Linked DNA regions of Saccharomyces cerevisiae S288C. The protein of the gene in region 2 purifies or fractionates together with the protein of the main gene of each other region. This does not show direct contact. Each region holds a gene or a part of one and is shown on either strand. Other genes may lie near its edges.

Region 1 (4,168 bases), on a different chromosome or scaffold from region 2:
GACCAGAATTTCGCTGACTATACCTGTAATCTGCCATTCTCACAGGGTTACTTTCGTTGTCGAAGGTGCAACCAAGGCGCCCATCATCAAGACCATTATGGAAAGGCCTGAAAAGGGCCTACCTAGCAGTATTGTCAACGAAGGTGCTGCTGGTCGTGTATCATGGTTTGTTGACGACGATGCTCTTACGGACGTCCTCGTCACCAAAAAAAAGTATAAATTCCACCAAGGTTTGTCTATTTAAACCATGCATGTGTGTACATACATACATACACACATACATACATACATACATATATTTATGTATATTTATGTATATATATATATATATATATATGCGTAATTATGCAGATTTCTCCTTGTGTGCTACAGCGGGTACTCTGACGCCAGATCATGGCCTCGAGATCGATATACAAACCACTGCATGATAAAGATGAAGTTGAATATTAAAGTTACCATTGACAGTCCCACTTTTCCAAAATTTGTCACGAACGTATCCAGACTGAAACCTTGATCGTTAGACAACTGCCAAATCAATTGGAGCAGCGAGGCGATACCGCCAGTGACATCTAGAAACACACCCTGAATGGGGAAACAATCCATAGATTTTCTTGTCGAGTTATGCGTCACTTGTGGGATGTACTTGATTAGTGACATCGATATTTTGAGTAAAAACAAATTGTTGCAATACGCCAGAGTTCTTGAGTTATGCCAATCGTACCAGTAGTTGGAGTACATAAATTGTACGGTTAGCAGTGAAAAAATGGCCAGTGATGCGAGTAAAATCCTTAGGTACCATGGATTCATCTTGCGGTGACCTTTACCTGGAAATCGCCAGATTCTCGCTCCAGCTACCACCTGGGTCAATAAGACAACATTCATCAAGCACCCATGCAGGCAATACCAGAAATCAAATTGCGTCAACTTGGGCCTGCCCAAGTCAGACTCATCACCCGTCATTTTCCAGCAGTACAATTGCAAAAATATGGATATGACCAGGTAAGAGTAACCTGCCGTATTTAACATGACAAAATCCATCGATATCGCGCTCGCTGACTTATGGCGCCAATTGGTGATTATCGGTGGATACATCGATATCGACCATGACGTAACATACACGATACCTAGTATATCGTCTAACGACACCATTTTGCTTCGCGTTTGCTTTTGTTTGCTTTTAGTTTTTCTTCCCTTGTTTACATATGGAAACTCACCTTAAAATTTCAAGATTATCAAAAAATATAAAGGATTCCGCTATTAAAGGGCAATACCACAACCTCAAACCAAATCACCTAAACCAAATCAAAGATGGAAGCGGAAAAACAATCTGATATTAAGGGAACCATTGCTTTCGATACTCACGGTAACGTTATAGAGTCTACCGGCGTGGGCAGTCAAAGGATCGAAGATATCGGTGATTTATCGAAAGTTACGCTGGATGCAGAAGGTTTTGCTCAAGTTCAAGGAGATTCGCTACTCGTACACCTGTACAAACGCAATGATATCACTTTAGCTGTATATACCAGCGCTCAATAAATTCTTTCCTTCCCTTTCGACATAGCTATGTCTGTATACTATCTAAAAACTAAATATCACAATAAACAAAGTACTAAAATAAACACCCATTTAAATAAAGCCAGATCCTGACCCTCCAAATCCGCCGGATCCTGAACCTCCAAATCCGCCAGATCCAGGACCAAATGGTTCGTCGTACTTGGATCCAGGCATCCATCCTGGCGGCATATCTTCCCGTCTTGGGGCAGGTCTTCTATTTGGATCGAAAATCATACCGCCTTGGCTACTTGGATTCCCCAGAGGATTGGGAAGCCCTCCAGACCAATCCGGATGGCTTGTGCCAACAGGATACAGATCACCATCCGCATACCCTCCTGCTGGGTTAGCGAAGCTCGGTTCAGTTACCGTAAGTCCGGGATATGGGTTCAACGGTGCTGTTCCCTGGTTTTGTCTTGCTTGTGCCTGGTACTCATCGTCAAATTTTGGCATGTCCGCACTACCTGCAGTTTGTCTTTTAAGTTGTGTCATTATAGGTTTCAGGTCTGGCTCCACAGGTAAGCTTTCTCTTTCTAGTGGCCATTTCAATTCTGTGGGCAATTTAAAATCGCTGTAACCCACCACACATGCCATGGTGATCGACGTACCATGACGAATAACAACAGTATACTTGTCATTGTCATCCAGAGTCTGAATCACCACTAGCTCAGAGAGAAACGATGTTGAACCCTTCTCACTGGGAGAATCTTTAATGCGAAAACTCACTTGGCATGATTTGGTTCCCTCTGTATGGCGTGACACCACCTCAGTTTTACCGATGGACTCCAACACTAGTTCTGCTACCAGTTCAACCTTATTCTCAATCATTGTTTAACTCTTGCGTTACTATGGTGGTATTATTGATGCTAATACGGGTTTTTTATGAAAAAAAAAGGATAACAAACTTATATAAACTTATATAAAAACATATACAATAAATGATCTACAAAGGGTAGGAAATAAAAAATAAGGGAGAAAAAAAAATACATGCGTAAGTACATTAAAATTACAGGAAAAATCTTACTTTAGTTCTGATATTTCACCATCGCGATACACCAACCCCATAACGTTTAGGAACAAATTCAAATCTTGGTATAGTTTCTCTTTATTATAAATAATAGATTTTAACTCTGTGTCTAATTCTTGAGACCTCTGAGGTAATACACTCAATTCTTTCTCTTTCTTTTGTAAGGTCTCCGCCTCGTTAATAGTGGCAAAGATTTCATCACGTACTTCATCAATAATGATTCTCTGGTGGTTTAGCTTTCCACTTAGTGCTAAACTAGCTAGGAACTGCCAAATGTATGCTTCATCCATAAACTTGTCATTTTGTAAACGCATGATGTGGTCGTTATATTCCCTTGGAGGGAAAATCAGCTGAATCTTACTTTCCAATGAAGTGAATAATTTATCATAAATCTCATTCCATGTGGAGATTTCAGGAGAGGAAAGAATATTAGATCTTGATGAATCTTGCTTGATTAATGCGGCACGAGAAATCAAAATGGTGATCAAATTTAGACCAATTTTGGAGGTGGTCAAGAACGAAACGTTGTTGTTTCTGATTAACTGTAGCAACAGACCCATAATTTCGATAAAATTGGAGTTATTAGACAAAAACGAGACAATGATCTTTAATATGATCATTTGGAACAGATCGACTTTCTTCAATTGTGTCAAAGTTGGTTTTGGTGTAGTCTTGTAGGAACTCAATATGATGATTTGCAAGTGTGATAATTCATTGAAGATTTTTTGCAGGATTTTCAATTTTTGCTGCTTATCCAAGAAATTAAAAATTCTAGGCATAATCTTGATACCTTTATCAAATGATAGCATCGAAATGAAAGGGTTTACGTCATATGAACTGTCGTCGATGTGAAGGGCCTCCCACATTGCAGTGCTGTCAGTTTGCTGGCCATTCCTCAAGTTAGCTTCCAAGTCTAAAATCTCTTCATAAACTGTTTCAATTAACTCAAGAATGAATTTTTTGCCCCCAGATTTGTTCAAATTTGTGGCACCATTACCGTTGTTGAACGCGTATGAAGATCTTCTTCTTTGCTTAGAAGCAACAGCAGCGGCAGAAGAGCCCGTAGAGGAGGACCCTGAAGAGGCCAAGTCCACGTTGGTCAGAGAGTCAGTGACGTCTTTTAGCGCATCGGGGTCAGAAGGCTGTTGTCTGGGGATCTGCAGTTGTCTTCTTGGATTCTTGCTGTTCAAAGTGGAAGAGATTTTGCCCAGAACCGTGTTTGCTTGCTTATTATCCTGGCTAGAGTTACCAGCAGCCGCTTGTTGATCCTTCAACTTAGAAGGTCTTTCCTTAGCCACAGTGACAGCCTTTTCTACTTGACTTTGCATTCTCTGTAGGGCAATATCGGTTCTCTTATAGCGACCACCGAGTCTGTGTCCAGAATGTTCCAAATACGCCCTAGCAATCAAACCTTTGTTGGATTCGGACGTGATACCGCCTCTTTGGATAATCTTGTAGACCTGGAAGTAGAAATCCTCATTGTAAGGGTCCTCAGTGACAATTTGAGACAACTGATATCTGGTGATGAAGTCCTTATCACGAGGAGTCATTAAACCTGAGTATTTCAAGATTTTCTCCACTTTGGCATGA
Region 2 (3,949 bases):
ATGGCGTTATTGTTTTTTGGAACTTTACTGAAATTCAAGAGAAAAATATTCTTGGTGATATAACATTTGCAGATTATAAGAATTTAATGATCCGGCCGCTGGATGAACAAGATATTGAAACTGAACAATTCCATTTCGAATATGACAGAGATACCGAGAGACCGAGAATTTTCAATGATATTGTCACATTACGTTCAGGTGACCACATTATCGAGCTGACACTATCACATGCGATTGCGCAATCTTCGAAATTATCAAGGTTTGAATCCAGAATTTCGCCGATTTTAATATCAGTCACAAAACTACCTAAAAGACTAGCATTATATGGTACCCTTGGGTTAAAAAGGGAACAGCTTTTGAAAAAATCAGGGAAGCTCTTTAAATTGAGAGTGGATGTTAACCTTTCATCCACCATATTGGATACACCCGAGTTTTTTTGGTCGTTCGAACCAAGTTTGCATCCACTGTACGTGGCAATGAGGGAGTATTTAGAAATTGACCAAAGAGTACAAGTATTAAATGATCGTTGCAAAGTTTTCTTGGAATTCTTTGATATATGCGTTGACTCTGTTGCTGAAAGAAACATGGCTCGTGTTACATGGTGGTTTATTCTTGTCATTTTATTTGGAGTTATATTTTCATTAACAGAGATTTTCGTTCGTTATGTAATTATTCATCGTCATACTTCTACATAGATATTCATACACCCTTCTAGACGGCATTAAAAATAAATTAATGATATATTTAGTTATCAAGGTTTTTAGTCATATATTTCACCGTTATTACCATTCTTGGTCACGTGCAAGTAAAACCACTCGTTGATTGGCTCCCCTCAAGATTGCATTAAAAGTACAATAATATGACTAAGGGACTCGAATATGTAAATTCATCTTTCGCATCAACAAAGGAGAAAAAGACGATAGTGAAGACTAATATTTTAGCCAGATTGCAGTGTTTCAGTGATCTTAAAAGTCTTTTTCATTTCTAGCCGCATTGAATTCTTTAAAGCAAACCATTAAGGAGTACTTCCCCAGGTTTTTAACCGATAATAAGAGTAAGATAAAAGTACAAGAAGACAGGGAAATGATTGCTACACCTATAAGATTAGCAAAGAGTGCATATGAGCCGATGATAAAATTCGTCGGTACAAGGCATCCCTTAGTGAAGCATGCAACTGAGGTCGTTGTTCATCCTTGCGCTACCAACGGAATGTTACCTGGCAGCAAAGAGTGTATTCCAGTGAGTAAATTCATGGAAAATTATAAACCATTCCGTGTAGTGCCAATAAAGCATAGCGCTAATGCTGGTCTCAGCTCGTCAAAGACCTCTGTATTCGTTAACAGGCCATTGCAAAAAGATGAGCTTGCTTCCATTTTCGAGCTACCTGCTAGGTTTCGGTACAAACCTATTAACGAGCATGAATTGGAGAGCATAAATAGCGGTGGTGCATGGTGAAGGATAGATGCAGTAATATTATGATTTTTTTTTGTTATTTTATAGTTTCTTTACACATATCATTATATCTATGTAAAAACGTAGTTACTTAGGAAGAGAGAAGAGTGATGATATTATGAATTGAAAAATAAAAATAAAATGAGTATTTAATGAAGGTGGGATAAAACTCTTCTAAATTTTTTGAGTACCGTAGCCTTTAATATCCTTGGCGAAGTCCCATTTCATGTTTTCAACTTGCAAGTTTTTCTTGAAAGTTAAACCTGTGTTCTTATCAATTATGGCCAGTGAGAAGTTTCTAGAAGAACGGGCATCTCTATAATAAAGAACTCTCATTGCATTTACGATCGCCTCTTCAGCAACCTGTACAGTGGTCTTTGGAATATCAGATTCTCGATCTACAACTTTCCTTAACAGTGGGTTTGCCATGTGTGCCCCAAAACCTGTGGCCAAGGTGGGAGACGAATACGTAACACCTAGAAGATTTACGTATCTTAGGAATTGATCACCATTAGACTGTACACCAGCAACAATGATGGCATTCCAAAGTGGATTCATCTTTGATCTTCGCTGGTACATGACGGTAGCTAGATATTCAAAAATATAGCTGGGTTCGAGCGCTTCTTCAGCATCCGCTAGAGGATTGTCATACGCATTTTCAGTGACTAGATCTTTCAATAATCTCTCAATGTGTTGCATATCAGAAATATCACCTGAAATGCCCACAACGGTGTTATCACCCACGGGAATAAGCCTCTCCACGCCATTGAATCTTAGAAGAGAGCCATATGAACCTAAATTATCTGCTGCAATGATAACCCCATTATCATATTTCATTGATATGACGGAAGTACCTGTTACTATTGGTTGCTGTGTATTAACCATGGGAGAGGCGCCTGCGTTCGCAATTTGTGTATTGTAAGCACCATAAGTAGAGTCTGCGGGCCTGCCCCAACTGAAAGGATCGTGATTCATTCGTGTGGGTTTTTATGTTGTTTTCGGCGGAAGATGAAGGATTCCTGCTGCTTATCCCCTTTCTTAACTTAGCTGTACTTTACTATGTGGGTACGTATTTAAGGTGGCAAATTCTAAACCAAGAAGCTGGAACATCTTTAATAAAAAGGATTGACGGGTAACCCTAAAAGGAAAAATAATAAAGAATAAGAGTAAGTTAAACTATATATATAGAAGGACGAAAGAAAAGATACCTCGATTTTTATTTATTTAGTTTGTGTATATAACTTAAGTATTTTATATGTGAATGTAACGTACTATTGGACAAGATATTCATCTGATTTCAAAGAGGTGATGACGTCGTAAGGGAGCTCTTGATCGTGGTCATTGGCCATGACAACAGATTGTATGGCCATACCGGTGAAACTCTTAGCTAATTTATCCCTCGTGGACTCTTGGAAGGAAACGGTCATTGGGTACAATGCATCTTCATATGGAGCTTCGATAGTGAATGCTAGCGCACCTGCATCGTTGGCAGCAATTTTGCTAATCTTAATGGAGGTTCCCATTTCTTGGTCCATGTTGACAACTTCAGCGTCAGAGCATGTAGAAGACTCTGTATTTATGTCTACTGGCTCCTGAGGGAAAACTGGAATGGTGAAGATCACATCAGCGAGTTCTGTTTCCAGGACGCTCTCATACTCAATAATGACATCAAAGCCCTGTTGTGATTCGGAGGGGGAAACCCATGTAGTTAGAGTTAATGGAATTAATGAGTCATCTTCTGCGGGAGCGACTTTACGCCATCTTAGAACACCCAGGCTTTGGTCGTTGGCTGGGAAAGCCTTAGATTTATCACGCAGGGAGATAAGTTTAGTGGATAGGAACGATTGTTTATCTATGTTTGGATGGGTCTTAAACTGGAAGGATTTATCGCGAACGTCAATAGAATCAGCTAGTTTTAGGTTCGAGTGAGATAAGTCATGGTCATTAATTCTTAGTTCTAAAACACCTTTCAATTCAGAAGAGTGAATGGTACCATCTCTGGAGAATTCTGCATTGATTACCTCCTTGATAGAGATCAAAATACCATTGTTCTCTGGGACATCCTCCTCCGGAGGAGGTGGAGTGCCAGAAGAGGCTGAAGAAATTGCACTTGGCCGTGGTGCGGCACCCGCTCTTCTTCCGGCACCACCACCCAATTTCATACCGCCAGTAGCAGAATGTCCCGCACGCTGAGACGTAGCCATTGGGGAGGCCACTGGGGCCACCTCAGCAGCAGCGGCATGGGAACTTTGTAGATAAGACTGTTGTGCTGCAGGAGAAGCATGGGAGTAGTAACTGTTGATGGCGTTTGTAACGTTAGGATCTTTACTTCCCATGAACCTATTGGCGCCGTCGTAATCGCCATTTGAAGACATAAACCCGTGTTTCCTTTCATGTTCTTTTCTAGCAATTTCCTTAGCACGGCGCTTCCTCTCCTCAGTAGCTTCGATCTCTTTATTACGCTCAATAATTTCCTGGATTCTTTCTTCGTGCGACT
Region 3 (4,089 bases), on a different chromosome or scaffold from region 2:
CAGTTCCTGCCTTTATGGGTGATTGCGAAGAGGATCTCTGTGTTTTTCTTACTGTATTCGCGTTTATAGGAGGCATATTTGGATAATGCTTATAATAGTAATATTTTGACGTTTTTATTTCATGCTTCAAATCATTTACCACCAATGGTGCCAAGTATGGTCTCGCCAAAGAAACAATGAAGTTATTAACATTGAATAGTTCCGTTAACCTAGTATAGGGGCTCTCCGTTATGCTCGGATTGTTGGCATTTTCTGGGGTAAGAAATTTGACTTGTTTATTTTTATTGATGTTAAGAAAAGGCTCAATTTCATTTTCTAAATTTTTACATAATAGTGATGTATCCTCTGAAATTACACCAGAACCAAGTGAGCATTCAATGGCTGACTTGATTAATACGTTTGGGGTTGTCACATAATTTAGTAAATTAGGGCATGATTTATCAGTTGGATGAATAACAATATTGAAAACTTTTCCAGTAATTTGATAAACTTCTTCAAAAGTTTTTTCCTTAACAATATATTTCATAACAAACCGGATAAAAAGATAAACGTCTTGAGAATAACCGTGGTGTATTAGGTTCTGAATCAAAGTCCCCAGGTTTAGGTGCTGCTCTAAATTACCGTATCCACAGCTTTTTAATAAATCTACATCATTCTTGATGATATTCAAGAGGTTGTCATCGGTCAATAATTGCTTTAGTTGCTCATTGGACAAGCAACCGAATAAACTTGCAACGCATGCCCCCATAGAGCTACCACTTATAATATTAGGCATCAGGTCCTGTAACAATAAACCTCTAATCACCCCAAGGTGAAACAGCCCAAACAATGAACCACCTTGCAAGATTAATGCTGTTGTGCCCAGTGACAACTTACATCTTTGGAAAAAGGATGTTGGAGTTAAAGTTTGATTATTTAATATATCCAAGCCTTCTAGAATTCGGGTCAAATATTGTTCAATAAGTAGCTTTGTACCCATCAAAGATTTTGTGAACAACTTTTTATCTCCAATACCCGCAAAGTTCCTCAACATACAAGGGCCTGTAGTCGAAAACTTCTCCTTAACTACATCATACTTCTCCTCCCTTAACATATTTTCCAATATGCTATATTGTTCAATGACAGAATTGAAGTCGTACCTCCTCGAAAAGAAATTCCGCCGCCATAAATTTGCGCCTGTTATTTCATCCACTACGGACGCTTGCTGACACCACATTTGATACGTATCACACTCATCTAACTTCTTAATAGCGTTATAATAAATGACTCTTGAGTGTGGCCGCACATAGTTAATCAGCTTTTGAACCCAGAAGAAATAAATATCGGTGATGACATGTAGAATTTCCCACACAAAAGGAGGTATATGGTCCAATGTGGCATACACTACACGCAGTATCCAGTTTTTCAAAAGGGTCGGTATTACAGCAGACACCTTGTATTCCTGCGCCGTTTCCTTCATGCTTAACGGCAACTCAAAGATGTGATATATGAATAGATGATTCCCTTACTATTGTGTCATAGTACTTCTCTATGTAATCAGTACTAATTTCTATTAGCTGCTACCCAGAAAAAAAAAAACATAAGAAAAAAAGGGTTAGGGTTGAATTTTCAGACCTAGGATAAGTATCTCCGAAATTACTAAAAACCTAGTATTTATTAAAATGCCCTACTAAAAAAGTAAAAATGACCTATAAAGAACATACCCTATTATAGAGTGGCAAAATTAAAAATTCAAAAGTATCGTCAAAGTATGGAAAAGAACCAAGACGCCACTACATTTAGGTAGACGTGGTGATCAATTGAAGTTCAAGAGAAGTGGGTAAGAATACATTGAACTAAGCCTTCATATATTTACAAAACATGTTCAGGAACAATTACGACGGGGACACAGTCACTTTTTCTCCTACAGGCCGTCTGTTCCAAGTGGAATACGCCTTGGAAGCTATTAAACAAGGGAGCGTCACTGTGGGGTTACGTTCGAACACTCATGCTGTTTTAGTAGCGTTGAAAAGAAATGCAGACGAATTGTCATCATACCAGAAAAAAATCATCAAATGTGACGAGCACATGGGGCTCTCGTTAGCCGGGTTGGCTCCAGATGCTAGAGTTTTAAGTAATTATTTGAGACAACAGTGTAATTACTCCAGCTTAGTTTTTAACAGAAAGCTTGCCGTCGAGAGAGCAGGTCATTTGCTTTGCGATAAAGCACAGAAAAATACACAATCCTATGGGGGCAGACCCTACGGTGTTGGTTTGTTGATCATCGGGTATGACAAGAGCGGTGCTCATCTTTTAGAATTCCAACCTTCCGGAAATGTCACAGAACTATATGGTACAGCTATTGGCGCAAGAAGCCAAGGGGCAAAGACTTATCTAGAGAGAACTTTAGACACGTTTATAAAAATTGACGGGAACCCGGATGAACTAATCAAAGCTGGCGTCGAGGCTATCAGCCAGTCTCTAAGGGACGAATCCTTGACTGTAGACAATCTTTCAATCGCCATCGTGGGTAAGGATACGCCTTTTACAATTTACGATGGAGAAGCTGTTGCTAAATACATCTAGGTCTGGACACAAAGTATCGTTTCCACTAAGCAATTGTCAAAGCAAGACCAAAGAAGCCTTTCACCACGGTCGGGGTTTTTTTACATATAAAGATAATAATAGATTAACTTAGTACGTAGTCTCACTTCTCATTCAAAATTAAAAAAGACGTGGCTTCCAAATCAACTAATAACCCCGCTTAATTCCGCCCTCCGCCGGGGAATAAACGGAGTTATCCCCTGTTGAAAATTCAGCATGATTATGTATCACAATACATAGGTGTTCGTCTATAAAAAGAACTACTTATTCTGGATAAACTTTCGAACTCGCTCAAACCTATTTGTTTCTGTACATCGAATAGACCCATAATCACTTCTTGGTTCCAAAAAGTAAAGTAATAGCCAAAAATGTCCCCATTGAACGTCGGTATAGTTGGTACAGGTATTTTTGCCAGAGATAGACATCTCCCATCCTACCAGGAATTTCCTGACAAATTCAAAGTCATTGCCGCCTTCAACAGACATAAGGCAAAAGCTTTGGATTTTGCAAAGGTTGCTGACATACCTGAAAATAAGGTTTACGACAATCTAGATGAAATTTTGAATGACCCTCATGTCGACTACATTGACGCTTTGCTACCTGCTCAATTTAATGCTGATATTGTCGAGAAGGCAGTTAAAGCAGGTAAGCCAGTTATTTTGGAAAAACCAATTGCGGCCAACTTAGACCAAGCAAAGGAGATTGTCAAGATAGCAGAATCCACCCCATTGCCCGTTGGTGTGGCTGAAAATTGGTTATATTTACCATGTATTAAAATCGCAAAGGAGCAGATCGAGAAAATTGGTCCTGTAGTAGCATTCACCCACAATTCTACCGGTCCATTTGTTACTCAAAATAAATATTTGACCACAACCTGGAGACAAAAACCAGAGCACATTGGCGGATTTCTATCTGATGGTGGTGTCCACCAATTAGCTCTCGTTATTTCCCTACTCGGTGAATTTGGATCTGTTTCTGCATTAACGAGACAGGTGCGTGAACGTTCCGGTGCAGATGATATTGTCTTTGCTACTGTCCAGTTGAAAAATAAAGAGGTTATCGGAAGTTTTACTTATGGGTCTGCCTTTGGTGCTACCGAAAAGTCGGTTTTCTTGAAAGTCTATGGTAAGAATGGTACCGTTACCGTTGACTTATCAGACAAAAAAGACCCCGTTGTAAAAGTCAAATTAGGGGGTTCAGCTGAAGATAACGGTGACGAACAAATTTTTAAAGTCGATAATGATGAAAGTTTCGGCGTCAACGCTGAATTTTTGAATTTTCACGAAGCTGTCAGCAAGAAGGACAAATCCTTATACCTAGGCACACCCAGAACTGCATTTCACCATTTGGCTTGTGTGGACGCGTTTTTAAAATCTTCTGCCAAGAATGGTGACTACGTTAAAATTGAGCAGCCATGATTACCGTTTTACGATGTAACGCTTTTTTAACCTTAATAGATAGATTCCCTCATATATTTATAACTATGTACCCACATAAGTATACTTT

Evidence for each region.
Region 1: the proteins of PRE4 (region 2) and FUB1 purify together in Saccharomyces cerevisiae (affinity purification with mass spectrometry; 2 studies listed by BioGRID). This does not show direct contact.
Region 3: the proteins of PRE4 (region 2) and PRE5 purify together in Saccharomyces cerevisiae (affinity purification with mass spectrometry; 3 studies listed by BioGRID). This does not show direct contact.

What each region holds. Positions count from the first base shown.
Region 1 is NC_001135.5:247,667-251,834, forward strand, and holds FUB1 (Fub1p), read right to left. Parts: upstream 2,380-4,168; coding exon 1,627-2,379; downstream 1-1,626. Other genes in the region: SOL2 (Sol2p), read left to right, coding at 1-244; cystinosin-like protein ERS1, read right to left, coding at 367-1,149; EGO2 (Ego2p), read left to right, coding at 1,309-1,536; deadenylation-dependent mRNA-decapping factor PAT1, read right to left, coding at 2,572-4,168. UniProt on the Saccharomyces cerevisiae protein: Plays a role in the establishment of transcriptional silencing boundaries, preventing the propagation of heterochromatic silencing.
Region 2 is NC_001138.5:247,440-251,388, forward strand, and holds PRE4 (proteasome core particle subunit beta 7), read right to left. Parts: upstream 2,428-3,949; coding exon 1,627-2,427; downstream 1-1,626. Other genes in the region: RMD8 (Rmd8p), read left to right, coding at 1-695; alpha-ketoglutarate dehydrogenase subunit KGD4, read left to right, coding at 1,084-1,455; RET2 (coatomer subunit delta), read right to left, coding at 2,724-3,949. UniProt on the Saccharomyces cerevisiae protein: Non-catalytic component of the proteasome which degrades poly-ubiquitinated proteins in the cytoplasm and in the nucleus. It is essential for the regulated turnover of proteins and for the removal of misfolded proteins.
Region 3 is NC_001145.3:899,849-903,937, forward strand, and holds PRE5 (proteasome core particle subunit alpha 6), read left to right. Parts: upstream 1-1,860; coding exon 1,861-2,565; downstream 2,566-4,089. Other genes in the region: TGL3 (bifunctional triglyceride lipase/lysophosphatidylethanolamine acyltransferase), read right to left, coding at 1-1,459; YMR315W (uncharacterized protein), read left to right, coding at 2,952-4,001. UniProt on the Saccharomyces cerevisiae protein: The proteasome degrades poly-ubiquitinated proteins in the cytoplasm and in the nucleus. It is essential for the regulated turnover of proteins and for the removal of misfolded proteins.